Mytilus edulis: one gene and its partner. The protein of the gene in region 1 binds, or shares a complex with, the protein of each later gene. Links are inferred from orthologs where the notes say so. Each region holds a gene or a part of one and is shown in the gene's direction. Other genes may lie near its edges.

Region 1 (16,944 bases):
TTATAAACATTGAATAAACAATTCTAAAAAAATATTTGGAATATCATGTATCAAAAGTTTATCATTAACAACCTTATAGTCGCCAAACTGTATTAAATGTTTTTTTGAAGATCGATAAAAGCTGCAAATGCCTTTTTATACGCCCGTCAAAATTTTGACGGGACATATTATGGTATACAAATGTCCGGTGTCCGTCCGTCTGTCCGTCCGTCTGTCTGTCCGTCTGTCCGTCTGTCTGTCCGGCGTAAACATGTCGCACCGTAACTTGAGAACGATTTATCCAAATTTCATGAAACTTATTATAGTTGTTTCTTATGATGGTCAAATGATCTGTATACTTTTTGGTTAAAATAAGATTAAAACTTTTTGAGTTACGGCACTTTGTAATAAAACAGGGGGGTGTTTTTTCACATGTCGCACCGTATATCAAAAACGATTTTTGATTATTGCTTAAAACTTTACACACTTAACACACTTCTTAGTTAAATTAATCTTAAGATCTGTATACTTTTTGGTGATGATTCAAAATTTCATTTTGAGTTATTGAGTATTTTGTAAAAAAAGGGGGAGGGTTTTTGTCACGCCGTATCATAAAAACAAATTATGATTATTGCTTAAAACTTTACACACTTCTTTGTTATATTAATTTAAAAATCTGTACGTATACATTTTTGTTTTGTTTTCAAAATTTTATTTTAGTGATATTTAGATTTTTTGTAAAAAAAAAAGAGGGGGGTCATATGTCCCGCCGTATCTCAAAAACAATATATGGTTATTGCTTAAAACTTTCTCAGAAACTATTTATGATTGTTGCATAAAACTTTTACACAAGACGACGGGCGTATCATGCGCTCATGGCTCAGCTGTTTATTATCATTTATTGTGTTTAATGTGATCAATTACTGATTTTAGTGCAAATATGTTATCTGCCGATGTATTTCTGTATTTACATAATTCATGTTCATCTGATATATTAACCAATTAAGGATTTGTATAGCAATGTATAGTATTAAATGCAAATCCTTTGATTTATAACAGAATAATTCAAATTAGCTTTCAGTTTTTCAAATTCAAAGATATTGAAAATACTCAAAGATGATATCAATTAAGGAATAAAAACATTCATGGATTTATTTGTTTTACAATATTAGTATAATTGTCATTATTACGACACACTAAAATTTCTTTCTTCTCGTCCTCGAGTTCTCGTCACCACTGTAACTCATCACATAAGTTTAATCGCCCCAATATGAAGTCTTGCTTTTAATCATTTCTACCTCGGAAACTTTCGGGAATCACCATAAGGGCTAGGAGGGAAAATTGAAAAATGTCAGAATCAAAGGATAAAAATTCATTGCCTTTATCTCGTGTGAGAACGATAATGAAGAGCTCCCCAGATGTTGCAGCAATCAGCCAGGAAGCCCTTTATTTAACAGGCAAAGCAACTGTAAGAGAGATTTTATTTACCCCCAAAAAAAAACAGTTGTAAAAAACTCAATGTGAGAACATAAATTTGTTTATAGTGGAATCGGGTCCCCTCGCCATCGGTCCGTCAGTCCACGGAGTCGGTTCGCCCTGTATGTGTTCGTCCATAGGGAAGATTCGTCCATAGAGTCGGTTAGTCCTGGGTTCGTTCACCCTACTAAGGCTACTTATCAAATCCATGAAATCACTTGAGCACTTAACAATGCTTAATTAGAAAATTTAGAATTTTGTCATGTAAATTGTGATTGTGTAGTTTTTCCATAGGCAGTGTCTGAGCGTACCCGCATGTGGGTACGAATAGTCAAATTGCCATTCTAGGCTGCACGTACCCACATCCGGTTTTCTATTAAAATGCCATCGGATCGGGAATGAAACGTGAAATATATACGGAAATTATCGATAATGATCCACCTCATGGGGATTTCGTGTAGAAAGAGTGAAGAGTATGAAAATTTGAAAAATAATAAAATAATAGAGCTAAATGAGAGCTAAAATGTAGCATCCAACAATAAACTTAGTTTCATATATCTCTGAATTTGAAATTTACAAGCCTTTTCAAAAATCTTGTTAGGTTACATTCTAATTTTATACATTGTTATACGGTGCAGTCTGGTGTATCCGCGCACCTAAGACTTATGACTTCACTTTATTCAATTGATAAAACCAAGAATTAGATAATATTGTGTGAACACATTAATTCATAACATATGTACTTTTATTTCATAAAATGATCTGTTTGTATGGTTTCATCCTCAAGATTTTGTGCAATGTGTGTCCAAAATTAGGGAAACCCCTGTTCTGAGAGTTCCTTCAATGTCCGGTAATTTCGTGCATGCCTTCCAAAAATAGCTTTTTTTTAAAAAAGGAAAGATTTTCTGCTACAAAATATAGCTGAATTTGAACCAAGCACACTGCCAAGGATGCAGAGCGAAAATTATTTCAATCTGATATAAATTTGACTTAAATAAAACAAATTTTTTCTGTTGATGTAATTTTTTTTAATGGAAATTGGCAAAATATTGTAAATCACGCGATTGCAGTTATTATCATTATTATTTAACTCTTGAACTTATCAATTTTATTCTTTTTTTCCCTTCTGCATGCTAAAACAATAACAAGAACAAATTCAATTTTATTTGTGTTACTGTGTTGATATGACAAAATCAGCTATTGCGCGATATCACCGGCCGCTCGGACACCGGGGACTCCACTGTACATGTTATAGTTTGTCATTGTATATATTAGATATATTTCAATAATTTGTAGCCTGTAAGTCATCATTAAATATATTAATTTTTCAGGAATTGTTTATACAGAACTTAGCCATGATCTCATTAGAAACAAATGAAAGTAAAAACAGTGTAGACTACAAAGACTTAGCTGAAGTAGTTAACTCAGAAGATGTACTCCAGTTTTTACAAGGTTTGTATTCAAGATTCATAATTTTTCCAATCTGATCAAAACAGATCTTTGTATTAGAATAGAATAGAGAATGGAATATTGGAATGTGTCAAAGAGTCAACAACCCACCCAAGAGTAGAAAAAAGCAGAACTTCTAAAAGGCCACCTACAGGTCTTTATCGCTGCAAGAAATCCTGTACCTAGAGTTGGACTTCAACTGACCGGACCCAAAAACAAAAATAAGAAATCAACCCGACATTAACAAAAGACTGTATTTGGTAGGGTTTAGCACACCATTAGTACTAAAAGTAGTGAATCAATTTTTATTGCTAAATGGTTAAGACTCATTATAGTCCAGTCAATCTAGCATAAATTTGACCCTAACCTTAAAGTAATTGCAACAGAAGATTTTTAAGTTTTAATATTCAGCATTATATCATAAATATACACAGGAAAAAGTCCCATAAAATTTTACTGGAGGAAGACTAAAAAATCACAATTTAAAATTCCTATGAAGATTTGCATTGAACATGTTGAATAGCAGCTGAATTGGGAGATAATTCTGCAAAAAAGTCAGAAATTTCAATAAAATTGATACAAAGTTATAACATTACCGATTTTATTCAACAGAATGCATTATTTCTTGATATTTTAACCATTTTTAGAGTATACCAAACAGCTCTAAAGATGTTTTCATATCTTTTATCAAGCCACAATCTACATTGTGTAATGTATTAGTTGACTATTTATTGAATTTTTCAACATGTCAAGGTAAAGAATCTCAAATTTAATAAAATAATTAAGAATATATTCTTCTTTTTGTGGTTTAAAGTGTTTGAAGTTGCTGAACAAATATAATATACAGATATAAACCATACCAAATTTTGACATTATTTTTTCAAAATGGTCACAAATTTGCAATTTCTTTGATGAAAAATGCACACAAAAAAATTAAAATACCCATATCACTTCGGTTTTGTACATTACATGAGCAGAAAATTATATAACATAGTCAAATATGAACTTATAACCCCATCAAAGTAGCATACTTTAATTTTATTTTTTTTAAAAGAAAATTAACCAAAAAAAGACCAAATAAAGACTTTTTTGCAGAGTTATCTCCCCTTCCAATGTTAATTTCCATAGGAAATTAAAAATGCTGATTTTGAGTTTTTCTCAAGTTTAATTTTATGGGACTTTTAAAAAAAAACAATAGATAAATGCTTTAAAATGTTTAAAGTCAACAATACAGTGTTAAAAAATTATCGCTCATCTTTTCAAACATTGTCCCAAAAGAGACTATTAATCCAGGTGACAGGTATTAAATCATTCTAGTCGAAATTTGTTACAAAATGCTTTGTAATCATTTTTTATTTTTCAGATATTATTCCAAGGAAGATTAAATATTCTGAATATCTTTCCATTAAACAGAAGGAAGAAGATGAAAGTTGACAGAGTTATCTTTCTTAAACCTGAAAAAAATAGACAAAATAATCTTGACGGTCTTGGTCTTGGTCAATTCTGAAAAGGAATTCCACATGTTCTTATGAAGTATGATAGCACACGAAAATACACTTATGTACATGAAATTATAAATCTGATGTAAAAAACAGTAATTTCTTTCAGAATCATGCAATTAACTTTTTATATAAAATTGATACAATCCAGCATATATGGTTTAATTACTGTTGTTATAGATTGAAATGTTAGAGAGCAGTCTTACTATAAAATAATGAATAAAATGTCAAAAGTGACACTGTTCTGGTTTCAATTCTGTCATGTACAATAGTAAGGGAGGCATTATGTTTTCATTTCTCTGTGTCCTTATGGTTGTCTCATTTCAGGTTCACATAGTATTACTGTATTTTCTTAGTCTTTACATGTTAAGGCATTTATCTAGGCATTTTTTGCATGAAAACAAGCAATCCTTTTTGCCTCAATCAATTTTGAGAAAAGGGATAGGATATAATGGTTCTTCTTGTCTGCTACGAATGATGCTGAAAGGGAGACATAAGGATTACAATCCAGTTATGGTGCCGGCTTATTTATAATTTGTATAAAGCTCTATAGTACAGAATGGAGATGACCTTGATGCTTCATACCTTGTGTAATGATGTTTCTATCTGTCATTTTTCCCTTGTCCTATACCTCATTTTCATGGTTCAGTGACAGCTTGAACATGTTTTGTTTGTCAAGTCTAATATTGAATTATTATGAGTAATATAATAACTATATTTGGTATATGGGTAAATCCTTGCATTTTCTGCATTTCTCATTTCATAGATCTGGTATCAAGGTTAAAGTGAAGTGGTCAAGTCAGTATCTCTGTGATACTATTTCTAACCATTAGGTTAAGGTGGTACCTAACACTACAGGGAGATAACTCTGTAAAATCAGCTAAACATTTTAATTACACTGTGTTGTTAAGGAAATATAAGCTTCTCAATAATCAAACTAATGTTTGTCAAACTGCTATACAACCAGTGTAATTTTTCTCATAAAATGGTTGGTTCAAATTTTTGGAAATTTTTATATTTTTGTGAAATGGTCAAAGTAAATACTTTGTCAAAATTTTATGAAAATTAAACGATAAATAAATTTTAGTGAGGGTGTTGGGTACCACCTTAACTTAATTTGGTGTATGGAATAATTTTAAGGTGCACACAACAGGTTTTATCTTAGGGGTCGTCCATAATTGTCAACCATTTTCCAAAGTGTACAAAACGTACACTTTGTCAGACCCCCCACCCTCCTTCAAAAAGTGTACATCAACCATTTTCAGATTTCAAGAGAAGAATCAGTCATTCTTAATAAAAAGAAGATCCTGTCTATTATATTTTAGTTTAATATAGAACTTTGCATTGAAAAAAAAACTAAAACATATCTGACTGTTTTTTTTGATGACATCTATCTGTGATGCTTGTGTTTTGTCCGAATAAAGATTACAAAGATTAGTGTTTCCCCTATCACACAGTGGAAATGGTAACTCCAATAAAATAGGGCACCTAGAGCATGCAAAAGATTAACAAAAGGACACATAAAAACTTTTTGTTTAAATAATTTTACTAGTTCACATTTTTGAAAGATTTAGTTTTCATATGATTTGATCTTTTAATCGTTCAATCCCGATTGAGTAGAATTATGATATCAAAATCAATATCATCAAGTGAAAATAATCAAGAAGAAATAAGAAGAGAAACACTCAAGCCAATTCTCGATTTTATAAATCGACTTTCCCTACGGAAACGATATAAATTCCGGAAATAAAAAAAAAGCGTACGGTAAAAATGTTGATTTTTTAACCCCCTCCCCCCAAGTGTACGTTTTGTACACTTTGGAAAATGGTTGACAATTATGGATGACCCCTTACCTAGACTCCAACTTCATGGTTCATTGGACAATGTTGAGATTTTGTTGTTTGATCTGTTCTCAGGTACTTTTAATGATTAGACCATTACATGTACATCTGGTGTCTAAATGATTGCAAGCTGTACAGGTCTGGCTGGCATAAATTATTTGACCATGACCTAATTTTATGATTCATTGGTCAATGTTAATATTAAGTGGTTTGATCTTTTTCTCAGATGTTGTAAAATTGCCAAATAAACAGCTGTATATCCAGTTAAAGGCCAAAATGAAACAATGCAAACAATTATAGCCTATAGGTCACTATACAGACTTAAAAAATAACCCAAATCCATGCCTTATAGTAAGCTATAACAAAACCAGGATAAAAAAAAATTACGAAACAATGCAACAGAGAAGACCTAAATCATGATTTGTTTAACAATGAATGAAAAGATTTACTTGTATGAAAAAGGATAAGTCTCAGCACAATTTAGGAGTGTCTAGATGGGGTTTACAGAATATATAGAGAAATCAATAACAGGCCAATACCACCAAAAAAAAATGGACTAAAAAAATAAGATCAGAAGTATGAAGAAATGAAAAACAAATTTAAAAATACAGAAAATAATGGAAAACATGCAGTAATTCAAATTTGTTAAAAGTTCTTTAACCATGTAAATACACATGAAATATGTCCAGTCAGAACCTTTGTCAGTGGTCATACTTGATTAAACCACCAGTTTTATACAATTATGAATTTGTGATGCTGACTGACAGATTGTTGTCTCTGTTTACAGCTTGTCCATACTAAGAAAGATTCAAAACATGACAAGATAGACATTTGGGTATATAGCTGTCTCAATGATGTCTACACCACATCTATTTTATTTGGAAAATTGTATGAATTTCAGGGTTCTCAATATAAGACAAGTCCATGAATCCCTCCTGGTCTTATCTGAAGATTGTCAAATGGTGTATCCACTAAGAAGATGAATTGTATACCAATACAGTTTTATCTTTTCACTCTTACTTGCCATATATATTTGAAACTGTAATTGCCCTCAAAACTATTCAGTGAGAACCTGACTCTGAGATGTGTATTACGGAGGAGAATATTTTTTTAAATAAAACTTAATATCCTGGGGGTAAAAATAGCATATTGGCAAGACACATTGAGGCAACCAGTACCACATGTTGAGCAGGATATGCATCCCTAAGGAACTGAGATCATCCCCTTTATTTTGGTGGGGTTGGTGCATGTGCAGTGGCGGATCCAGAACTTTTCCTAAGGGGGGGCCCACTCCAGTCATGCTTCAATGATTCCCTATATAATCAACCAAATTTTTCCTACCAAAGGGGGACCCGGGCCCCCCTGGATTCGCCTATGATGTGTTGCTTAGTTGTTAGTTTTCTATGTTGTGTTACCGTATGTGTACTGTCAACTTGTTTTTTTTTTTAATTTGGTTATTTTTTTTTTTTTGCCATGGTGTTGTCAAGTTTATTTTTGACTAACGAGTTTGAATGCCCAATTGGTATATTTCACCTCTCTTTTTGAGATGGGCATATAAACATGTGTGAAACTTAATTCAGAATTTATTGTGAGGTACAAAAAGTTATTTATCAATTAATGCAAATAATGCAATAGACAACTTTGGAGTTCAATGCATTTCCTTCAAAAACTCTGGTTTTAGTGAACGTCATTTGTGCGTTTAGGGGCGTCGTCACTTCCTTTCCAATGTTGAGCGAGTGATTGGAAAACTAGAATTCTATGTTGTAAGAATTATACTGCAAATTGAATTCTAAAAAATTGACAATCAGCACTGCTGTTATTAGGGAATTGTCATTAAGTACCTACAGACAATGACAGACCATTATTTCTAGTTTATCCTGCACAATGACGATCACTAAGACACTTGATGAACGTAAATAGTGCAGGGATACAGGCGATCCCCTCTATCTGGTAAATGACGTCATAAAGGCTGCATAATTGACGATTTTTTTCCGGTGATGGATGAACTGGAAAGTGGTCTATTGGATAAGTTTTGTAATAAAAAGAACTACTATTTTGATATCTGTCAGATACATATCTTTATGCAGCATTCCTAAAATCTCAACAATTAACTTCCCAGTTTTGTCCATCTTTTACAAATTGCAAAAATAAATGCACACAATAATTTCTGAACTTACAGTATTTAAGCTGCTGACAATTATCAATAGAAATGAGATGTTAACTTTTGGTCAGGTTTTTGTCTCTTTTGTCATATTTCCCATTTCCTGTAATTCCATCCTCTATTTTAACACATGTACTTATAGTATTACCATTCCATTTATGATTTATAATTATTGTAATTATCAAATCATTTAGTAAGATACAGAAACTTTCTAAAAATCCAAAAAATTAGATGCTTTCATCATGTTCAATATCAATTAGGAAGTGTACAAAAGTCCGGAATATGAAACATTACCAGCTATACAAGATTTGTGGTGGATATACATGTACATAACATTGTTACAGTGGATAAAACTTCACCCCTATTTTTTTATGGAGGTGAACTAGTTTGACATCATGTCCGGGCCATTTAGTATTTTACTTGGAAAAGTAAGACTGATAAAGCCACAAATAAATAACTGTTTATTGTATGTACATACATTCTAATTTGGTAATTTGTAAAATATTATACTACATGTATTTTGAAAAAGTACATATATAGTTATTGATTTGAACAATTGCACCAATAAACACCTGAGTATTCAAGAAAAAAATTGTATTAATGAACAGCCTTATAATCAAGTTATTCTTATTGCTGGTCTTTTAATTTCACACCCATGCTTTTTAATAATTCCAGAGCTTCTTTGTGAGCCTTTTCATCATCAGGTTTATTTAAAGGTTGATCTTTCGCTCTAGTTAAATATTTCAGCGCCATATTATGGTTCTTCAATCTGAGGTAAGTTTTCCCTAACATCAATAAGTTCATACTGTAAAAATTAGGATCTGCTTCTTCAGCTTTTTCAAAATAAGCCAGCGCCTCTTCATAAGTTGAAGTTGGTGGTGAAGCAAACAGTGCTGAAGCTATTTGTCTCATGTACCAAGGCATGTCTGCAAATAGAAAACACCAATACCCAAGTGAGTACAATGATGTTGCATCTTTTGGGTTTAATTCATTGGCTCTCTTTAAATGTTCCTTCACATGAAAGGCATTTGAAATTCTTTTTTTCGTGCCTTCATATTCTGCTGTGTAATCAAGTAGTATGGCATACCATTTGTGAGAGGCAAAATTATTGTCATTTAATTCTAGAGCTTTCTTGACATATTCAAAGGCTTCAAAAAAGCAGGCTTTCTTTTCATTGGTATTTTGAACTAGTTTTCCTTTGTCGCTCGCAGCCCTTGCCAGTCTCCACAAAATTTCATCATTCTGACAATCCTTGTACTGAATTAGGAAATCATACAGTTTAAGTATCTCATTAGCTGTATATATTTTATCAGCTTCTATAACAACTAATTCTTCTTTGGTCAATTCTTTGACCTCTTCTTTCTTTCCAAACCCAAAACTTAGAGCATGGACTGTTGCAAAAGGTTGAAATGCCAGTACAGGAAACAATGGATATTGGATTTTCTTGAACTGTTTATATGATTCCTTTCTCTGGGACCTCAAGAATCTGTATGCCACGCCACATGACTGTCTAAATTTTGTAAAAAATTTCAATGAACTTTGCATCATGAAGGTGGCACGGTAGTATTTGCTTCCAACGTTTTAGGTTGCTCCTTTGTGTACCCTACTTAGGTGAATACTTATGACACTGTGATTGGACATTAAAATGGATTATCAACCAGAAACATTTTTTTCAAGTATTTTAACCAATTATGAGTCTGAAAAATAGCAATTTTCAAATGTAACTATTGAAATAAATCTTTTAGAATTTTTTTAGAATATTGCATTTACTGCGGCCAAATATGATGTAAATGACTGGTTCCCTTAGACTGGTGACAATAGCTAAAAAAGTAAACGGTCATGATGGTGTTTCTCATTTATTTTTGAATATCTGAATGAAAGTACTTCAAGTTACAGTAGGTTTTAGGTCTTGGGGAGTGTTAGAAAGTCATGAAAATCTGAAAAATGTTAACATTGTCGCCTATGGCAGGGAAATACTACCGTGCCACCTGAATATGTTGTCAGTGTAATCAGTGAGTAATCTCTGAAACAAGTTCGGTTCATTTATTTTCCGGAAAACAAGAATCAGTAATCAATAAATAGTAGGAAATATGGTTGACTAGAAAATATGGTTTTGTTCGTTTTATTTACAAAGATTTATCCTCTAATGTGTCATGACAGATTTGATTTCTACCAGAGTGTACAGTGCATTATGTTCCCGGATTTTATTCTCAATCTGCCCGTACTTTTATGTAAATTATATCTTGAGTCCTAAAATCTTTCTTTTATTCCCTATACATCGTGGAACAAAGCCGGCTTCAGAAAAAAATATATCAAAAAGTACGAAATCTCACGTAGAAAGTTATATTAAAATCAAACACAGATAAATCATCAACTACTGTATACAATCAACTTTGTCAAAAGATATTTCGGTGTGGTTTTTAAGATTGTCAACCACTTTAATGAAAAAGGGGGGATAATTAATGAGATACATGCCTCTAGTGGACTAACCTGCCTCAGCCTCAGGCAGATTTGTCAATCCCACCTCCAAGCTGTTGACATCTTATGATGTCCACTCAGATTTTGAAACAAATTTTAATTTGATAAAAGATTCTGAAAAACTGGTAATGTTCAACAACAAGTTCATTCATTTTTTAAAGATTTTTTTATGAGAATGTCTGCTTTGTTAACCAATTGCGCTAAAAAAAGACCTGCTGTTTTGTAGAGGTGGGGGAAGACCTTTTTGGAGATGTCAGGATCGGGTGTTCAGGATAGACCCTTTCGAGATCCTGGAATTCTTGTTTCCAATTTTGGAATGCTGGGATTTAAATTTCTTTAAATTTTGGACCTCAGGATTTCATGTTTGAAGCCAGAGATTTCGGGACCAACAGAGGCGGATTTAGGGGGGGCCAAGGGTGGAAAAATTTGGCTGCTTATATAGGGAAGCACTGGAGCGGGCCCCCTCTTAGGCAGTCAGTGGGCCCCCACTTATGAAATTTCTGGATCTGCCACTTATCAGGTCCCCTCTGACAGCCCCATCCCCCTCCATAGCGAAAACAATTACTTTTAATGAATATTGTTAGCAAATGAATACTAGAACACCTATCTTTTTTTGCACATATAAATAAGATGTAGTATTCCATTCCAATTCCAATGTACATGTATAAAAAGTAAAAAAATTACAATTCAAAGTATCAGGCCTTCACCACAGAGCCTTGGCTCACACGGAACAGCAATCTTTAAAGAGCCCTACAATAACTACATGTAAAACAATTTAAAAACTTAAAATTAAAGGTCTAATCTATGTAAAAAAAACAAGAAACAATTGTGAACCACACCAACAAACAACAACAGTCATTAACATTTATCAAGTTAGGCCACAATTAAAAATATTTCAGTTTGCCCAAACCCGACCCATGATGACTGGGTGTGGGTAGGTAGGTAGGCAAATTTTTTTTTCTTTTTTTTTTCCAAATTTGCATGAAAATATTAAAAGATCTTAAAACAGTATATCTTTTTTTTTCTCTGTCAAACCTTTGTAGAGACAACCAAAAGCCATGAATTTAAAACCTCTATAAATAAATTAGTCTACTATATGATTTGTATCCTGAGATGTTTATAACCCTGACAATTGCTAACTGTGTGAAAGGGCTGTTGGATTTGTGAAGTGATTTTCAACAGTTCCATCAACATGATCAACACGATGTTTGTGTAAAAAAAATATCAGCTGATTATGTAATGATTAAATTTGTTTGCAGTTTTTAAATCCTATTCTATTAAAATAGATTAAATGTCCTAAAATATTTATATGAATTTTTATCTACCATCCTTAGTTTGTGTCTTTTTTATGTTTTGAAAACAAATTTATATTTTACATTATCACACAGGTAAACTAATTTGGCTATAAATAGATCAAAGCATGTTCTGTAGAATCTCCAAACTAAAAACGTATTTGTTATAATTTTATTTCTTTAAATAATCAAGTTTAAATTTTTGAAAATAATCATTATTGATTAAATGAAATTGCATAAAGTTAACGTTTTCTGAAGACTTTATTTTTAGGTCTGACATGGTTCTAGGGGCTTCCTCACAAATTGTATAAAAATCCAATATGGCGTCCATAACATGTTTTTACTTTTGCACATGTGAAAAAATATTTCTGACAAAAGTCAGATTTCTCTTGTCAAAAGGGATTTATATTTATATTGCAATAAATTATTCAGAAGGAGTGACATTCAGTTAAGATTATATTTCTGATTCTGTGAGCAATTATAGTTTTATCTAATTCTCCCAAACAGCAACGTACTGACTGTCTAATGAGACTTGTAAATTTGAACTATTCGAATAAAAGGGCATCTAATTTACATGATAAAGGAAGATTATAATTAAAGACAACAATTTATCAAGAAATAATTCCTTTTTATTCAGTAAAAACAAAATCTTCTTGCAAGATTATAAATTCGCAACTTCCAGATCCATTTCCTGTCAGAATAACATTAAAAATATTCGATTGCACATGGTTTTGAACAAATCTACCCAAATATTCTTATCAGATATTCAATAACACGATGAAATTAATGTTGAGCATATAGGTAAGGGTTTGGTAGTACAAACAACTACAGCATAAAAAAACTGTGCCACTTCACTTGTTATACTTCTTTACGTTCGTTAAATCAGAAGATAAAAACAGAGAACATCGAATATCGATTAACTGCGTCTCTTATACGCTTTCTTTTAATCTTATTCACAATTACTTTCAAACGCAAAGACGACAAACATTAAGTTTTGTACGATGACGGAGCTGACCCAAAATAAATCCGGAAAAAAAAAATTCTTCCAAAAAAACGTCAAAAAAAGAATTTGAGTCGGCGGGTTTATTTTGGGTCGGTCGCGTTTGGGCAAACATACAATCTTTTTATTTTGGCCTTACAATGTATCAAGCCCTTTAAGTTAAAAAAAGGAAATGTGATATGATTGCCAATTAGACAACTCTCCACAAGAGACCAAATTACACCGATATTAAACATCTATATGTCACTGTACTGCCTTCAACAATGAGCAAAACCCATACCATATAGTCAACTTTAAAAGGCCCAGAAATGACATGTTAAACAATTCAAATGAGTATTGTCAAATTTGTTATACATTGAATTTGTAAAATAAGATTATATGTTTATAATCTAGTGGTTCTTTTTTTCAGGATGGCACAACCACTATTGTTAGATTCTACATGGAGAGACCAACAGAAATTTGAAAATGCAGAAGCTGTTTATCAATGTACAATTGCTGGTACATCTGTAAGTCTGCATAAAACTATGTACACTAATTTAGATCTTTGGGCAGGAGTAACAAATTTGTTTAGGCCAAAAAAATTAATATGTGTTTCCGTAAACGTCCTGAAAAAAATTAAAGTAGGCAATATCAATCTTTTAACAAACAATTTTTAGCTGGTTGCTATTAGGGAAGTATTGTGACTTTAAAGATGCTTAGTCCAAATTGGCATAAAAAGAGTTGGGTAGGCACTAAAAATTAAGGTAGTCAGGTAGTTAGGGTTAGCGGAAACATGTATTATTATTTTTGGCCTTAGATCTTTGGGCAGGATTAACACAATGTATGATGTGTATTAACCTTACTATTTCAGCTTTTACTAGCTATAGGATTCTGATACCAGTATTCATTTGTATTTGTACATGTTGAATTTTTCAAGATATCCATAGAAATGATATAAACTGTAAACGGATACATGTTCATGTGCTTGCTCTTAAGGCCTACATCGATTTGTCCTACTCAGGGTTAGTAGAGTTTTCTCAACTGGCAATGGAAGAGTTTTGGTTGCCCACATGCACATTTATTAGCACTGATCTTTTAACTCAAGTCAACCCGAGTTGGACGATTCGAAGTAGGCCTAGATGAAAGCATGTTTTATTGGAATTTGGCAAAAAACAGAACAACTTCTGTTGATATTTCACAAATATTTTTTTATAGATTCATAGTTATCATCAAAATCATTTAAGAAATAGCATGTATAGTAAGGATGCTATTGTAACATTGTAAATTTTGGATCAATAATGTATATCATGATGTATAAGTAATTATTTATTAGTGCATGCAGTAAATTATATATCACACGTATTATAAAAACTTCATCAAGTTACCATTGTAGATAAAAATAAAATTAACATACACATAGAAAACTAAAAGTACAACATTGATCTGATCTGAAAATAAAGATTGAACAAAAATAGCAATGTTCAATCTAATTGGTTTTTGTTATTTCCACATTGGGCAGCCATTTCCGACAACTCCCATGAAATTTAACCTTAAAATTGTTGAAAAATTTGGAATTCAAATGCTTACACATCATCAGATCATTCTCACATTGTAAATAGGAAATTAATTCTTACGAAGAGAAAAAAAGAAATATTGGTGGAATAAACAGGATAATAAAATTTCTGTTAAATCTGTGTTCTCCCAGGGTCCAATCGTAGAAGTGTGGAAATAACATAATCCATATTTCACGTATATGGTGAAGTGTATAAAATTATACATTTTTGTACTTACTACTTATTTTATAATATGATTAATATTATGTAGAGTGGCTTTCATCAATTTATCATGATAAAGGACAAACAACTGCAACCTTTGACAAATGTTTGAGGAATAAAATAAAATAATAATTAATAAACCATACTTTGACCTTTTTGTTTGGCGCTATTAAATAGATTATAAATATTGAAATAAAAAATGCATATATTTCTAGGGCAATAATAAAGAGAATTCTGGGTCAAGCAAATTAATAAATGAAATAGCTGAAGCCAGACAACAAATTCAAAAAGCTTTATCTTCTGTGAGTAAAATTGCTGTTGTTCATGTTATTATTTCATTCTTTTAAGCATGTAGATATTTAGTGCAAAGCAATCTAGTTACAACTGACTGTTTTATAATAGCTATCTGTCTTTCTTTTCTTAACATTTCTATAAGGGCTATTCCAGAAAAAAATGTATGGGGGGGTTGGAAGGCAGTTTTTGTCAGCACCCACCACCCAGACAATTGTAATTGAGAATTATAGTGCATTATAGTGTGAAAAGTTGCTCTGATACCCATCACCCATGTATTATTAATATAATGTGCCTTCCAACCCCCTTATACATTTTTTTCTGGAATAGCCCTAACAAATTATGACCTTGCACACCATTAATCAAAAAAAAATCTGTGCATTATACATAACTGGATACGGTAATAAGGCAGTAGACTGCCATTGAATAATCAATTTTGATGACAGACTACTGTGTTATTACCATAGTCAGTTGTGTATAATGCGCACATTTTTCTCAAGTTAATCTGGCATAAAAGATGTGTGTTATGCATCAATAAGTTATGTGTATAATACACAGATTTGTTTCTTTAGTTACATGGACCAAAATTAGTTTTGTTTTATGCATCAATGTGTTTTATACAGAAAAGAAAGAATATTTTCTCTTAATACATGCAGATAGTTATTATAAAACAGTCTTCAATTCACCTTAAGTTGAATAAACCAACCCAATGTTAATTTTTACATCATATCTGGTTAGTTAGGGCTTTAATGTTTTGCAGTCTGTATACATTATGTATATTCCTGCTTTAGTTTACAAATGCTTAAGACCATGAAGACCAAGATAAACATGGTAAAGGTACACACACTTATATCATGTAATATGTATATAAAGGAATATATAATATTTGATGTAAAATTTTATAGAATGGATTACAAGAATAGTTAATGAAGGTTGAAATTTAAATACTAGTAATTTTATTATACTTGTACATTTCAATTTAAAAACATAATATAATATATATATACATCAAGAAATTTCATCAATAAACATGATAAAAAAATACAAAAACTTCAGAAAATAGGTTTGGTTTGAATTCCATTGTAATTTGGTCGCATCATGATTTGACATTAAACAGTAAAATGAAAATTGCACATGTTATTCTGAAAATGAAAAATTCAATTTGATCTGAATGTCATCAATGTTGAAAAATAGATGTTGGGTAAATTAGTCTTGAGATGGCAAACCAACAATCAAAATAACCAAAATGATACTTAAAGAAAATTGACGAACAATAAACAGACTTCAACAACCAATATTTTTCCATACCTTATGCATATGCCTAGCTTTTAATCATTCAATCTTTAAAAGTTATGAATAAATTTGCTGACGCAAAAATTAGCATCCTCATGTGTTTATGGTGTTTTGATTCTGCAAAATAATTATATATATATATATATATATATATATATAAGTACAGAGTGTTGATTATCACTAAATAGATTATAATTCACTGCTTTTTGCTTCTTAAAAATGCGATATTTATTTCTGTGAATAAATTCATTTGAAAATACAGTAAAAATGTTTAATAAAAAAAAGTTAATAGAATTATTTATTTTATGAATTAAAGTTTATTGAAGCAAATTTTTTATATATATATATTTTTTAATTAGTACTTCAAAAAAGCAATTAGTAATGATTAGAAACAGAAGTTAAGTCTACATATATACTACATGTATATCAAA
Region 2 (15,872 bases), on another chromosome or scaffold:
TAAACAAGTGCAAATTTCCTTAAATTAAAAGTCTATTAAAAGTAATTCCACCAAGAGAAAGAAAATTTTAATCCTTTTTTGGGATTGTGTGTGTCCTGAGCAATTTTTTTATTTGACTACCAATTAATCCTAGCTACTAAAACCAATGTTAAAGGTATTTCACAAATACTATGGAATCTAAAAGGAAAACATGTTCTCTTTTCTGTGCTAACAGGCTTTTGTTGTTTCTGTCCATGGAAAAAAACATTGGTTTGAGGTGTCTGAAATGGTTTGCTTTTTGTGGCTATGAAGGTCTCAGAAAGCAGCAAAATCATAAAATCGCTCTGGACACAGAATCAGAAAGATCAATTACTTTTATATATTTTAGAAAGTTGTCATTTCATGAAAATACATGATACAAAAGTAACAAATATATATATATATATTAAGCTACAAACAATTTGTTTTCTAAAAGCACTATCAAAACCAACCACGATACTTACAGAACAAAATTCCTCGAATGATATTTTGCCATCACCATCAGTATCTGCATGTATAATGGTTTTATCTACAATCTGCTGTAGCTGAGTGTCTTTGAGATTATTTCCTACCATCATTTTAAGCACCTGGAACAGTTCTCCATTAGATATATATCCATCTTTATCCATGTCATATATCTTAAATGCAACTGAAATTATAAATGTATAAAGTTCAGAAGGTAAGATGGAAATAAAGTTTCAAGAAATATGTTATATAGATATAAGAAAATATGATATTCATGAGTGCCAATGACACAACTCTCCATCCAATCACAATTTGTGAGAGTAAACCATTATAGGTCAAAGTACCACTTTCAAAACAGAGCCTTGATACTAAACAGCAAGCTATAAAGCTATAATTCTCTGTCTTTGTCATTCATCAACTATAAACTGTGACTGTTAATTTATTCATTTTTATGGATACCAATTTTCATGGATATTTGATTTCATGCTTTTGTCAAAGTTTGCATACAAGCTTATAGATAATTGGCACTTGTGTGAACATCTATATTCGTGGCTTAACTAAAATTCACTAAAAATGTGTACCTAAACAATATTAAAATAAAATGCTTCGCTAAGCCAAGCCTGATATGACCATAGAGGTCAAACCCTAAACAGTTCAGGTAAATTCGGACACAATATTTAAGCTTGGTACTGTCTGAATTTGAATTGTTATCAAATTTTTGACATAATATAGGTTTCTGACACAAAATAAATGTTGTCAAAGATCTTACAAATCTATTGTGCAATACTGTTACTTGTGCAATTGAAGATTTCATCTTGAAACTTTTCCAAAATTTGAAATTTGAAAAATTGTTAACAAATTCACCCTTGGAGCAATAACAATAACCCCAAAACTCAATCCCAGCCTTTCCATTGTAGTATGGAACCTTGTAGTACAATTTCAGAGAGACCTATACTCTTAAACGCAAGTTACTGTCTGGAAACTAGAAACCAGGTGCTCCGCAGGGCGTAGCTTTATACGACCGCAGAGGTCGAACCCTGAACAGTTGGGGCAAGTATGGACAAAACATTCAAGCGTGATACAGCTCTGAATTTGGATTGTGATCAAATTTTTGACATTACATGGTTTTTTTTACACAAAACAAATGTCAAGATTTTACAAATCAATTAAAGATTTCTTCTTCAAACTTATTTAAATCTAAAATTAAATAGTTGACACAGCATAGGTTTCTGACACAGAATGAATGTGGTCTAATGAACTTAAAATTTTTTTTTTGCCTTTGAGCAATTCACTATGCTGTTGAATATTAATCCTCTCAAAAAAATGTTTGAAGAAATTTTCTTTTTATTTATGAAATCTGAAATGAGAAAAATTTAACCCCCCCCCCCCCCCCCCCCCCCCCCATTTTTTTTTCACATCCCCGTTTCCCTTTTTCCAAAACTGATATCAATTCAAAATTCTAATGGAGTTTGCAACAATAACTACTCTTTTAAATACATCATAAAATATTAAAATGTAAAATAAAGTGCTTGTTATCACTGAATGGTAAAGATTGGTTGGTAGTAAAAGTGAATATACATTGTTTATTGTATAAAACAATAAAAAAAACTTCATCAGCAACATTTTATATTGGCAAATTTCCAATGAAGTTATTTACACAAAAGTTATTGGCAAATAAAAATAGAAAATGACATCATAGTAATGTCTGGCAAATGTCCAACATACATTATCTAAAAACATTTTAGATAAGATAAGGAAAAAAAGCTTCATCAGCAACATTTCATATTGGCAAATTTCCAACGAAGTTATTTACATAAAATTATTGGCAAATAAAAATAGAAAATGACATCATAGTCATGTCTGGCAAATTTCCAACATATATTATCAACTACTATTCTATACAAAGAAAGATAACTCCAATTGAAAATTAATTGCTTTTGCACAATATTGTGCAATTAGATATTTCTTGCTATTGTGCAATACTGTGCAATTGAAAATTTCTTGCTATTGCACAATACTTGATATGGAATCCTGATTTGGACCAACTTGAAAACTGGGTTCATAATAAAAAATCTAAGTACATGTTTAGATAAAGCATATCAAATAAGCCCAAGAATTTAATTTTTGTTAAAATCAAACTTAGTTTAATTTTGGACCCTTTGGACCTTAATGTAGACCAATTTGAAAACTGGACCAAAAATTAAGAATCTACATACACAGTTAGATTTGGCATATCAAAGAACCCATTTATTCAATTTTTGATGAAATCAAACAAAGTTTAATTTTGGACCCCCATTTGGACCAACTTGAAAACTAGGCCAATAATTAAAAATCTAAGTACATTTTTAAATTCAGCATATCAAAGAACCCCAAGGATTCAATTTTTGTTAAAATCAAACTAAGATTAATTTTGGACCCTTTGGACCTTAATGTAGACCAATTTGAAAACGGGACCAAAAATTAAGAATCTACATACATAGTTAGATTCCGCATCAAAGAACCCCAATTATTTAATTTTTGATGAAATCACACAAAGTTCAATTTTGGACCCTTTGGGCCCCTTATTCCTAAACTGTTGGGACCAAAACTCCCAAAATCAAACTCAACCTTCCTTTTATGGTCATAAACCTTGTGTTTAAATTTCATAGATTTCTATTTACTTATACTAAAGTTATGGTGCAAAAAACAAAAATAATGCTTATTTGGGCCCCTTTTTGGCCCCTAATTCATAAACTGTTGTGACCTCAACTCCAAAAATCAATCCCAACCTTCCTTTTGTGGTCATAAACCTTGTGTTTAAATTTCATTGATTTCTATTTACTTACACTAAAGTAATTGTGCGAAAACCAAGAAAATGCTTATTTGGGCCCTTTTTGGCCCTTAATTCCTAAAATGTTGGGACCAAAACTCCCAAAATCAATCCCAACCTTTCTTTTGTGGTCAAAAACCTTGTGTTAAAATTTCATTGATTTCTATTCTTTTTTACTAAAGTTAAGAGTGCAAAAACTAAAAGTATTCGGACTACGACGTCGACGACGATGACGCCAACGTGATAGCAATATACGACCAAAAAATTAAAATTTTTGCGGTTGTATAAAAAGCTTCTTTTTGACCTTTTTTGGCCCCTAATTCCTACATGTTTGGTGCAATCAACCCCAAACTCAATCCCAGCCTTCCCTTTGTTATATAGAACATTGTGGTACAATTTCAGACAGATCCATACACTTACACATAAGTTATTGTCTGGAAACTAGAAAAATGCTGTTTTTTTTGGTCGCTATTTGGTCCTTTATTCCTAAATTGTTGGCCCCATAACCCCGAAAGTGAATCCCAAACTTCTACTTGTGGTATTAAACATTGTGGTACAATTTTAGAGCAATCGAAATATTTATCACAAGTTATTATCCTGAAACTAGAAAAATGCTTGTGGTCCCCTTTTTCCAAAACAGTTGGGACCATAATCCCCAAAATCAATCCCAATCTTCCTTTAGTGGTATTTTACCTTCTGAAAAAAATTCATTAAGATCTATTCACTAATAAACTATAGTTATTGTCTGGAAACCAATGTGTTTTCGGACAACAAAGACAGCATACCATCATACGATCCCAAAATTATTTTTTTCTGTCATTTTAAAAGCAGAGCATGAATAACTAGCATCCATGTAACATAACAAAATGTAATACTCCAAATTGACAAAAAAAACTTCCAAATGGTCTGCAATTTTATATGCTATGGTCTACATGTTTCACCTGCAAGGCAGGCTTCATCAGGACAATTTTCATACAGGAATAAATTACTGAAGTACTCAAAGTGGTACATGTATATTGAATTTGACTTTTTCAGTAAGATGATTCTTAATGACAAAAACCAAACAATTATGACTCTTGGAAAAGACCTCAAACAGGGTCAGTCAGCAGGTAACCTAGACAAAACTTATTGTACTTACATCTTAATTTAGATAATTTGTCTCCTTTAACACTAAATTGTGATACTCCTTCTATGAATTCTGTAAAAGAAAAATATCACTAATTACAGGAGAACAAAACACTTCCTAGATAGAGTTGTGAAAAAGAGCTAAACTCTGATTATTAATTTACATGTACCTGAAGTGAATTTTAAGTCAATTTGAAACATATTTCTAATAATTAAGTTTTGTAAGGCTCCTTAAACAACTGAATAAGATTAATGTCATAAATTTCTTATAAAAATGTAAAGTTTACCTCAGTTATATAATTATAGTTTTTCTGTTTTCCTTCAATTTTGGCAATAATATTCTTATATGTTATCCATGTTATCAGTAACACAGAATCTATTTTCTTATCTAAACAGAATATTGATGTTTAACTAAAAGTTGTATATATTTCTTGAGATAAATTACCTTTAAAATCTACTTCTCCATTACCATCTGTGTCAAATATATCTATTACTCGTTGTACTAAAGGATTCTGTTGTAATTCTGGTAATGACATAAACTCATCTACACTCAGTGATCCAGAGTTGTCCAAATCTAATTTACGAAACCGCTTACCAAGTCTTTTAATTTCATCTGCATCAACTGAAAAATATAAATCAAAATTATATTATTATATAGACTTTGCACTTGCATCACCCTAAACAAAATATTTCAAGAAAGGGTCCAACAATTAATACAAACATTTTTTATATATTTTCACATGTAAAGTTACTTCAAAAACTAATTGTATTATGAAGTATTGTATAATGAAGCAAGAAAATTTATAAGAAATTTGCTTTCATACCTCCAACCAGATATTTGATTTAAATACATGTAATTTATCTGTACCCCAAGTCCTCAAGATCAGGACCTCAATTCAGACTTGGGGTAATTGTAATCGTTAATCAGCTGTAATTGAATACAATTTTTCAAGTAATCATTTTAATCAGCCAAAAATCTGATTACATGTAATTTAATTTAATCAATTACTTTTCAAAATACCCTGTAATCCTGATTACTTTTTGATTACATTATGATTACAATGTTGATGGTCAAGAAATTAACATTTTTAATATTCTTATTTGATAAATATTTAATATGTTAAGATAGTTTGGTTTACTTTATTAAGCATGTTGATTGATTTGTATACTTCAGTTAAAAATAAACTGTTACAGTATATAAAAGCCCCCATTATCCTAAGAGACATATAAATACAATTATATGTCTTTGGCCTTAGTAAAAAATATTGTACATATATTGACAATTTAAAGATGTACATATACATATTTGATAATAACTGTTATATTCTAGTGATAATTATCTTTAACCCTAAATTATTATCTTTTGGTAATATTTTTGTCAACTTTGAATTGACAGGTAGATAACCAATTAAGGTTTGTTTTTATTGAAATTACCAAATGAGTATAGCTGCAGGACAATACATATGATAAAAGATTAATCAGACATTCAAAATTTCTCTAATTAACACAAACTAAATTAAAAGTTGGGGAAAAAAATCTTGTTTAAAATAAGCAAAATTTTGTATGTATTTGGACTGGACATGTAAAATGCAATGATTTTTAGTATTTGAATTTTGTTTACAATTTAATTAAACAATTCTATAAAACTGCACCTTGAAATACAAATAAAGTCTGGAAGAGGTTAGAAGACAAGCAGCAAACTCTTTATAAAGCTTTATTCAATTGAAGTCAAAATAATTCAGAGATCAATCTTGATGAAGGTAATGGGTCAAACCATAGACACAATGTTCATGTATAAATGTATGTATGTAGTGAACTTTCGTGGTTTATTAAATAGATGAGGTTTAAAGTTATCATTTTATAATATATCAAACCTAATCCTTTCTAAAAATTCTATAAAAACTATTAAATGCTATTGAACTTTTATTCATTCACATCATTCAAAAGGTTTTTTTTAATTCATTGTAATCAGATGTAATCATAATTACTTTGCCAATGTATCATTAATTTAATCAGACACTTTCAGAAATGATGTAATCGTTAATTTAATTTAATCGCACAAATGACAAAGTAATTGTAATTTAATCAATTACATTGAAAGTAATCGGACCCATCTCTGCCTCAATTATATTTGTGGGCATGGTGAAGGTCATTTGGAGAATGTTACAAATGGTCAAAATTGGCCCCTAAAATTCCAAGAATTTAACTTCAGTAAATATAGCTATATATAGTAGCCTTTGATGAAAGACTGCAACAAATGTTTGATAATTATAAAATCATCAATTTCTAAATAAAGCATTTGAACTTAAAATGTGGCTGAACAATAATTAAATGTCATACTTTCAAAGCTTTAAACATTGACTAAATCAAACAGAGGACAAAAGCTTTACACATTGACGAAAACAAACAGCAGACAAATAAAAAAAGTTGAATCTAAATTTCCATATTAATAAGATGTAGTAAAATTAAATAGTAGTTTTTACTGCTATTGGCCGTTAAGTAAATCTTGTATCATCTGTATTGTTGTTCATTTTTAACTTTTCAAATTTCAAATATAATTCTTAAGATAAAAGGCAACATTGTGAAAATTAGTTTGAAATTCATTTAAGGCATATCATCTGAAATTTTTCAAAATAACATAAAAACTTTTTATTCGCAAGTATCAATCAAATCATATTTAAATCTACTTACAGTTTGAACATAATTCCAAAGGAAGTGATGCTTCATTTCCCTAAAACAGATAAAAGCAATAAGTTAAAATTGAGAATTGGGAATGTGTCACACAAAGAGATAACCTGCCCAAAGAGCAGAAAACAGCAAAAGCCACCAATGGGTATTCCACACAGTGAGAAAATCCCACATCTAGAGGCAGGCTTTATCTGGCCCTTAAACAAAATATGTATATATTATAATGACTTGAGACTGGCAGCTGATTTTATAATAACATAAACATATGTCATAGCAATATTTACTTGATATGTATTTGAAAGAATCGACGCCGGTTCCTCAAATCAACGTTCTAATCTGACTCCACATTCTCAAATCTACATCCAATATTGTGATACTCTTAGCGTGTCCAATTTGAATCGATGTCATGTATTGCCAAACAGATGTATCCAACAATATGTCATGGGATATTATGGATACCCATACCAACAACATCACAGCTAAAGCAAACAAGATGTTAGGCTTTTTACGAAGAAACTTGAAAATTAATCAGGAAGAAACAAAAAGTTTGGCTCGCAAAAACAATGGTACGATAAAACTTCTAATACGGCTCTTCAGTTTGGTCCCCTTTAACACCCAAAAACAAAAAAAATAATATTGAAAAGGTACAAAGAACATGAAGAAGGACCACATTACGTCACCAACAAGTACCATAACACCAGTAGTGCCACTTCCATGATTGACGATCTTAAATGGAAGTCACTAGAAACTCGCAGAAACATTAATCAAGTAACTATAATGTCTGAGATCACACACCAACTTATAGCAGTCGATTCAAATCTTTACCTCACACCACAGCCAGATAAAAACACCAGACTCACTATAGAGGGTGGTAAAGGGGGGCCCTCAACACGGAAACAGGTGAAATAAAAATGGCAAAAACGTTGCACGGAAAATAAAAATCGGAAAAAACGAAGCACGAGAAATAAAATAGTAAAAATTTATGTAAAAAGTAAAATAATTTATTAATCAGCCGTTCTTGGAGATCATCTAGCCATTATATATGATGGACATGATGACCCTACAGTCACATTTTAGCGTCGGCTAGTCGCAACTGATTTGAAAGAAAAATATTATTCATAATAGATCATAATAATTAATTATAGCAATTTTAAATATTCTGCATGGGAACACATAATTTAAATCAATCTCCAGACTGACCGGGGCTTTGAATTTAATCCCGGCCGTACTCTTAATCAATTGCAGGACAAGCACGAGAAATTAAGAGTAATGACACGAAACACGGAAAATAAATAAAGGAGAACACGAGGCACGCACGTCGAGCCAAACACGAGAAAACGAGAAATAAAACTTCAAAACACGAAAACACGTGAATTAAAAAGGCGGAAAACGTTGCACGAAAATAACCCTTTACCACCCTCACTATACAATCTCAAACTTTCAGCACCAGAACAGATTACTTTCAGTACAGCTTTTTTCCATACTCAGTTGTACTCTGAAATTTACTTCCACAAAACATCATTAGTGTTTATAATTCTTTGGATCAGTTTAAAAGGATTGGTTTAAAATACTGATCCAAAGCCAGTATATTTAGATATCTACGTACCTTGTTTGTATATACATGTAAGACATGTATTGATGTAAATGTTATTTTTTTTTATTTTTGCACAAATTTAATTTTTGATTACTGGACTCTCAGATTGTTACTTTTTATTAAGTGTCTTTATGCAATGTGCTGATAAATCAACCTACGATGTAGACCTTATAAGGACATTTATTGATATTAAATTAATTATTATGCTGTAAATGTGTTGTCTGTTAGAAAATCTTTCTTTTTGCAATTGATTAATTCACGTATACAGAAGTAATAGTTTCTTAGAAAATGTAGTTGAAGCATCGAGTATTTGACATCGATGAGGTTGTACCCAAAATTTCCCCCTTTTTCCCTGTCCAGTTTCAGAATCATGGACATAAAATTGGTACAAATGAACCAAAATTATTGTATTTTAGAGTGTAGGATACAAAAATCATATCATAACAAATATGCAACATCAAATATGTTTCAATGAGGCACTTATGTTACCATTTTCAACTAAAACTGTATTTCTGTTTCGATCAATTAAATATTTTAGTTCGATATTGACAACTCTAGACGAAACATCCGGGCACTTGAAGCAATTCTATCGAAAAGCGCATGACATACCGGAAAGTTCAAATGTAACTTCCTTTTTTACCGGTGCAATGGCTACAGGGGTACTACACATTGACATACGTGACAATCAATATAGAATCAACGCAATCTTTCCTCAAACAATAAATTTACCTCTGGAAAACTGAAAAACAATAAATAATCTTTGTCTTTTTTTAATTTTGTAGACTCTTTACACATACCCTGACAACTTCAGAGCTTTCAAAGCTCAAATTGCAGCGGAGTACAGCCGTACAACAATCAAGCTTGCAAGTTTCAAGTTCGGTGAAACCAACCAAACTCCAGATTTCTTGTCTAAATTTCCGCTTGGAAAAGTAAGTCGCTTTTTAAATGTGGTCACACATCGAAACATTGATATGGGTAAGATACATATGTGTCGAGAAATAAACTCTGAAAATGCAGACAATATTTTTACGGATTTTGACTAGCAGATGATGGTACATTTGTAGAATTAACAAACATCTGATATGCATATATATGATACTGTCCACTAACGAGCCAGTTCTTTGCATAAAAATTAACATCAAAATTATTTTTATTGATTTTCCTCTTTTTGTAAATTAATTTTTATTTGTTTTTGTTCCTCTAAATACTCAAAAGCTTTTGTTATTTTTAACTTGGCTTGTACTGGTTGACACACATGCACAGTGTATCTGCGTTGACTGCAGATTAACCACATAGAAGTAGAAGTAATTTCAAGAGCTGTACACATAATATTGTATGTCACCTTAAACACCTTATCGCTAATTGACCGCCATTACTGTATACCACATAGGTTCCCACAAAATCTGACACCACAATAGAAAAGTGTATTGCTATTTGAAAATCTGTCCCTATTGACCTGAGAATCTGCCCCATTTTGCCTTGAACTGTTATTGGCGTACAACAAATTGTCAACAATCATTTTTCCATTGTGACGTCAGAAATTTTACATGAATGGTGCCCATAAACACCTTATCTATATTCCAAGCTGACCTAGAGAATTTGTCTGGCTTGAACTATTGATGTCATACAACAATCTTTTCCATTTAGGCGACATATATATTTGTATAATGACCTAAAAATTTCATGGAACCATGGACAAATACAATGTAGCTATAACTTGTATAAGGTGTATTGTACTGCTTACACGTAACAGTCGGGTCAACACATGATTGATCAATTGTTGCTAGTATTTTGCTATATAGTGACAAATATTTGATATTCTTATTGAAAGTTCATAATCTTTTTGTTTGCTTGAATGATAAAAAAATGTAGAACCTTCATCAAAGGCATGTTTGCTGGTTTTTAATGGCAAATGTGTAAGAACTGAAGGCAGAGAAAGGTTTTTTTCTGATCACATGAAGGATTGATACCATTCAACTTTTTCATATTCAGAATAACTACATGTACATGTATTCAAATAAAGTTGTCACATAATTGAATTAGTGGTTAAACTTTCATCTTTCTTGCATTGTCTCTTGCTGAGAAATTTTATCTACATGGCAAAACATGAACTTGTCAGATATTTGTTAAAGGGCAATGTCAGATGGCGGTACATAGACATTTAGTATCCCTTGGCAGATTCAATGACAGTTATACCAACTCCCCTTCTTCCTTATTTGTTCAAGTTTGTGTCTGAATGACTTTCTGTGTTTTTTGCTGCTGATTCAGACCAGGAATTTCCAAGGAGGGGGGGAGGGGTATTTGGACTCGGGAACTCTACTTTAACAGTCACAATTTGTTTTCAAGGGGGGAGGAGTTCGTCCGCAACCCTCGAACCCCCCTGGCTACGGGTATGTGATTTACTTATCCTATACATCGACCCATTGGCATTCTGGATAAGAAAATGTGCATGTAAGACTAAGAGTCAGTGATTTGTCTAGGTAGGGTGACGTCTGGCAAACTCATCTAAGTACACAAAAAATAAAGCTTAATGTGTTGGTTTAGTCCATAGCAGGAGTCAAACAGAATATTTTTTTTACAATTACACTCGGATGGTCCTAGTATAAAGAGTTTTCATCACATTACATACAAATACATAAGATAAGACAAAATTTGGAAAACAAGTTAAAACTAATACAGTAATTGTTGAATAAAGTCACGACAGAACACAAATTGCTATACATTTTCTCTTGATGTGCTTGTAATATTTTCCACTGGACATTAAAATTCATAATCATTATAGTGTGGTAATATTGGGTTCTTGATAGCAAATTAAAAAGAAGTAAAGATGTATGGCAGTGTCATAATGGCGGTCAACACATTAATCCATTGTTACTAGCTTAATGAACATTCAGAATAATAATCATTTAGGAAATTATGTCTTCCAATAAGATGCAACCTTCAAGGCATGTTTGCTGGTTCATATGGCAAATGTGTAAGAACTGAAGGAAGAGCAAGGTTTGTTCTGATCAGATGACCAGGTTAATAAATTTAGGCGTGATCATATTCAGAATAACTACATGCAGTATATTATGGTCCAGAATGATCATGATGTATATTTACTTTCTCTTGTCTTCATAGGATTTAATGTAAAAAAGAAAAAATAACCAACTTTTATCAATAATGCCAATGTTCACATCCCTATTTAAGATTTAGATCTTAATGATTATTATGGAGAGTGGCAATGGAAAATATTAATTTTCACTTGATTATAAATTAAGTAAGATGGATCTAATGTATGTATTTGTAAGTTTTAAAATGTATGTCATTTTATTTTTCAGGTTCCAGCATTTGTTACAGCTGGAGGAGATTGCATATTTGAAAGCAATGCCATTGCACACTTTCGTATGTACTTTATATATTTTATTTTTACTCGCATGAATTACAAAATGTATGCATACAATTAGACATGCACATGCTACGTTAAGTCGGACCACAAAAAAAGAGCAATATGCATGTACTACATCATGTAAATGTAAGCCAGTGTTCTCCCCAGGATTTTTGGATAGCGCTGTGGTAAGCGCGTGATTTTCGACAATTCTCAGTAACTTTGTCGCGGCGCGCGGTTGGTTTGTAATTGATTTGTTATGTGTTTTTCTTATATAATGCTATTGATGTTTTCTCTTGTTATGATGTCCTCATCATGCTCATGGAAGTTACCCCTTTGTTTGCTAATGTTATTGTCTGGATATAGACATGATAGAAGAAAAGTCTTTTTGTCTCCATTGTAAATACATATAATCCTCATATTATCTGTCTATAAAACCCAAGGAGAAGTCTTTTCCATGGTGAGTCTATACCAGACTGCCTAGATGTGAAGATTTCTTATCACTAACAGGTAATGTTGCAGAACATGTAGGACCAACAATAAAGTCATTGTCAGCTTCTGTGAGAAAGTTTTCAATGACAAGATTGGTATTTTTTACATTTACTTTTATTAACATTTCTAGCAAAGTACAACTTTTCAATAAAAATGAGTATAGTATTTCAAAGGAAGAAATGAAATTGCCCTTTTAATAATATTCAAATCATTTTAAAGAGATTTTTTTATTTCAAAGGTGAATTACCAATCAAATACATTATGAATGCCAATTGAAACAACTACCACCTTTAAAGGTTTTGTTTGATAATTTTATAAACATTTGAATACATGCCACCAGATAAGTTTGTCAAGATTTGACAATACTTCTCTTAGGTCTTTCCCTCCCAAATTATCTCCCTTACTGGCTGACATAACTTCCTGTTTACACCTATGTCTTTTTTTTAGCATTAAATACTATTCCTTATCCAAGCCATCCTCTGATTACATTAAATTTAAAGCAATATTTAATTAAGATATATTGATGATTGGTTGACAAATATCGATATTTTATATATATTTACACAAAATTTTCGTTTAGTTTTATTCCCTTATCCATTTGAAAAAGAGCCATGTATGGTCAAGTAATCGTAAAATACGGGCTTATAATGAATCCCTTGATAACAGGGATGCTTCTTTCAAGCAATTCAGTAACTCGAATAATTCAAGCCCTTTCCGTGTCCGATTTTCTCCCACACGAGCAGCCATCGTAGATCAGCGGAATATAACGACTGAATTATTCGGGTTAGCAATACAGGTTCGACAGTTCGGTTGTAAACGCAAAAAAAGTAATGATATAATCGTAGATGGTTCAAAAAATGGACGAGATAACGTTGTCAGAGAAGGGGGTAAAACTTCCCTTAAATATAATTTAGAAATGAACTTTTCAGCACCCGAGACATGTATTATATGTCTCTGTTAGCACTGTCCATTCCTTTCATACGTTTCGGCATCTTTATAAAGCGAAAACATGTAGCAGTGTTCTGTTAACCTTACGACGTTTAACTTGGCTTCACCCAAGCTGGACATCGAGAAAGTGAATTTCTCAAGTCTAGTATCAGCTTGGGGTTTGTTTTTATAATCATATCCTCTTAATTGTTTTCAAAGGGTAAAATTCATTACTGTAGAATTGCTGATTAAACAGGTATTAGTTCGATTGGGTGATAATTAATACTTCAAAGACTAGCTCATTGAAGTCAATTTGATCGTTGTTAAAATCAGTGTTTGTTCAAAGTTCGTTAAACAAGTTTGTGAATGTCGTTGGGAAATACGGTCAATTTATTTCTTCTCATTTCATTCATATATGCCTCTATATATTCATTAAATAGATGTCAATGTTGAAATCTTTGTTTATTTTGATCTCTCAACGACGCCATTTTGTAAAATTTATTAGACTGGTCCCGCGGAGTTACTTTAATAATTCTTTCAAAAATCGTTAACCAGTCAATCACGTGATCCGAAAAGAAAAATAAGCGGGAAATTTAAAAAAAAAAGCGAAAAAAAATATAGCGACGCGGTTGAACGGGATAGCGACGCGGTCAGTGCAATAGGACAGCGGGAAATTGAAATAGCGCTGAAAATCGCGGCGCTAAAACGGCCTGGGGAGAACACTGTAAGCACATCCATTGTTCTTAATCTTCTGGCTATCTTTAAGGAGAATAAACTAATAATGTGTTTGCCAAATAACAAAAAAAATTGATCATTCAGAAAGTTAATCTTAAAATTCTTTGAACAAACAAGGTAAAATTAAAAAAGTGGTGACTGATAATAGTGGAGGCTATCATTGGATTGTATTTTCAGAATTGTAGTGTAAGCAAGAGGTATTAATATTCAACCTCTAAGTTGTTGAAATGATGGCTGATTTAAATGTATGCATGGTGTTGGAAAGGATTCACATGCTTCTATTTAGAAAATTTGACTTCAAGAGACTAGATATTTGAAAAAACTAAAAAACTAATTTCTCAAAGTAGGCATGTTATGGCTGATCAACCCCCATGAAGGTCAAGGTCAAAGCTTGACAGCAGTCTCTGTTGATTTGTGGAAGTGTGCTTACCTAAAGAAGGATTTAAATTCTCAACACAACAACATCTCTCCCTGAAATATGCTTTTTATTTAGCACTGGAAGTTGAACATTTATCATTTAAACATTATATTCATGATATTGGGGTTTAGGTTGCTGAGTGAACTCTGCATTAAAATCTAGCCTTTCAACATTAAGTTTGTGCAGGTGCCCCTACTCCAATCTTAATTGGCTGGGAGTTTTAGATTGCCAGTTTTCCTGATGAAAAGTCATAATTATTGATCTTGTTCTTCATTTCATGAACAAAGGCATATTGATGAATTTCATGAAGTCAATTTTTTTTTTTAGTTGGGAACACTCAGTTGAGGGGTAAGAATGACAAAGATGCATCATTCATCCTACAGTGGATTAATTTTGGTGACAATGAGATTCTTCCAGCATCTTGTACCTGGGTATACCCATGCCTAGGTATTGTGCAGTATAACAAAACGGTATGTAAAATTAAGAGAACAAGATAAGGACATATGTTGCAAATTACAGTTTATCTGTAGAGGTAGAACTGTGAAGTACAAAAATGAAGTACAGGAACATTTCTTGAAAATTTGCTTGCACATCTTGTTAGTGAATTTGAATTGTTTAAATCACAATTTTGTCCAGCTTGATGATTTATGCATTTGCTGATGCTTGTAATTAAAGTTGGAGATATAAAAATTTTGCATTTTAAATTTAAAGGCGGACATGAAGTAAAAAAAAGTTGTAATTCCACAGAAGTAATTTTTTAACCTAACTCAGCAGAGATAATTATTTTATTTCAAATTTGTGTGGTGAAATCCTCATGTTGGAAGAAATAATATTTGTATTGGCATTATTTTTTTTATAGTATGTGTGTAATGAGAAAAGGCAATTTTAAAAATGAACTCATTTGTAAAAACTTGTTGATTTTTTTGTTTAGGAAACAGAGCGTGCTAAGGCCCAGGTGAAGAAAGCTCTGTCTGTGTTAGACAACTACCTGCTGACACGTACATACCTGGTAGGAGAACGCATCACCCAGGCTGACATTAGTGTTGCTTGCAATCTATTGTCCCTGTACAAATATGTAAGTAACTATTGGTAAGATTTGTCTACAAAAATTTGTCAATTACACAGCTAAAGCCAATCCTAATCAATTTGATCTTTTCAATGCATACTAACGGGGGGAAAGTTCATAAACATTATCAATGATTGCTGTTGTCTATAACTGAGTTGTACCATTGTC

The links.
Region 2: the proteins of elongation factor 1-delta-like (region 1) and elongation factor 1-gamma-like are in contact, whole or in part, in a crystal structure (PDB 5JPO), measured with the Homo sapiens proteins. The link is inferred for Mytilus edulis from reciprocal best matches to the Homo sapiens genes EEF1D and EEF1G. Residues at the interface, in NP_001123527.1 of Homo sapiens: Ala2, Asn4, Phe5, Leu6, His8, Glu9, Ile11, Trp12, Phe13, Lys15, Phe16; in NP_001395.1 of Homo sapiens: Tyr9, Trp13, Arg14, Phe40, Gly41, Asn44, Gly56, Lys57, Val58, Ser104, Val107, Pro108, Ser111, Thr112, Phe115, Ile120, Met121, His123, Asn130, Glu134.

Annotation. Positions count from the first base shown.
Region 1 is NC_092355.1:30,358,246-30,375,189, reverse strand, and holds the start of elongation factor 1-delta-like, read left to right. Parts: upstream 1-10,662; 5' UTR 10,663-10,724; intron 10,725-13,584; 5' UTR 13,585-13,585; coding exon 13,586-13,681; intron 13,682-15,144; coding exon 15,145-15,231; intron 15,232-16,944. Other genes in the region: chromatin accessibility complex protein 1-like, read left to right, coding at 1,328-1,447, 2,787-2,907, 4,268-4,338; regulator of microtubule dynamics protein 1-like, read right to left, coding at 9,033-9,953.
Region 2 is NC_092346.1:58,346,251-58,362,122, reverse strand, and holds the start of elongation factor 1-gamma-like, read left to right. Parts: upstream 1-9,239; 5' UTR 9,240-9,346; coding exon 9,347-9,358; intron 9,359-9,481; coding exon 9,482-9,628; intron 9,629-12,019; coding exon 12,020-12,083; intron 12,084-14,965; coding exon 14,966-15,108; intron 15,109-15,569; coding exon 15,570-15,713; intron 15,714-15,872. Other genes in the region: calcineurin subunit B type 1, read right to left, coding at 483-667, 4,431-4,490, 4,863-5,039, 7,109-7,148, 9,189-9,191. UniProt on the Homo sapiens protein: Probably plays a role in anchoring the complex to other cellular components.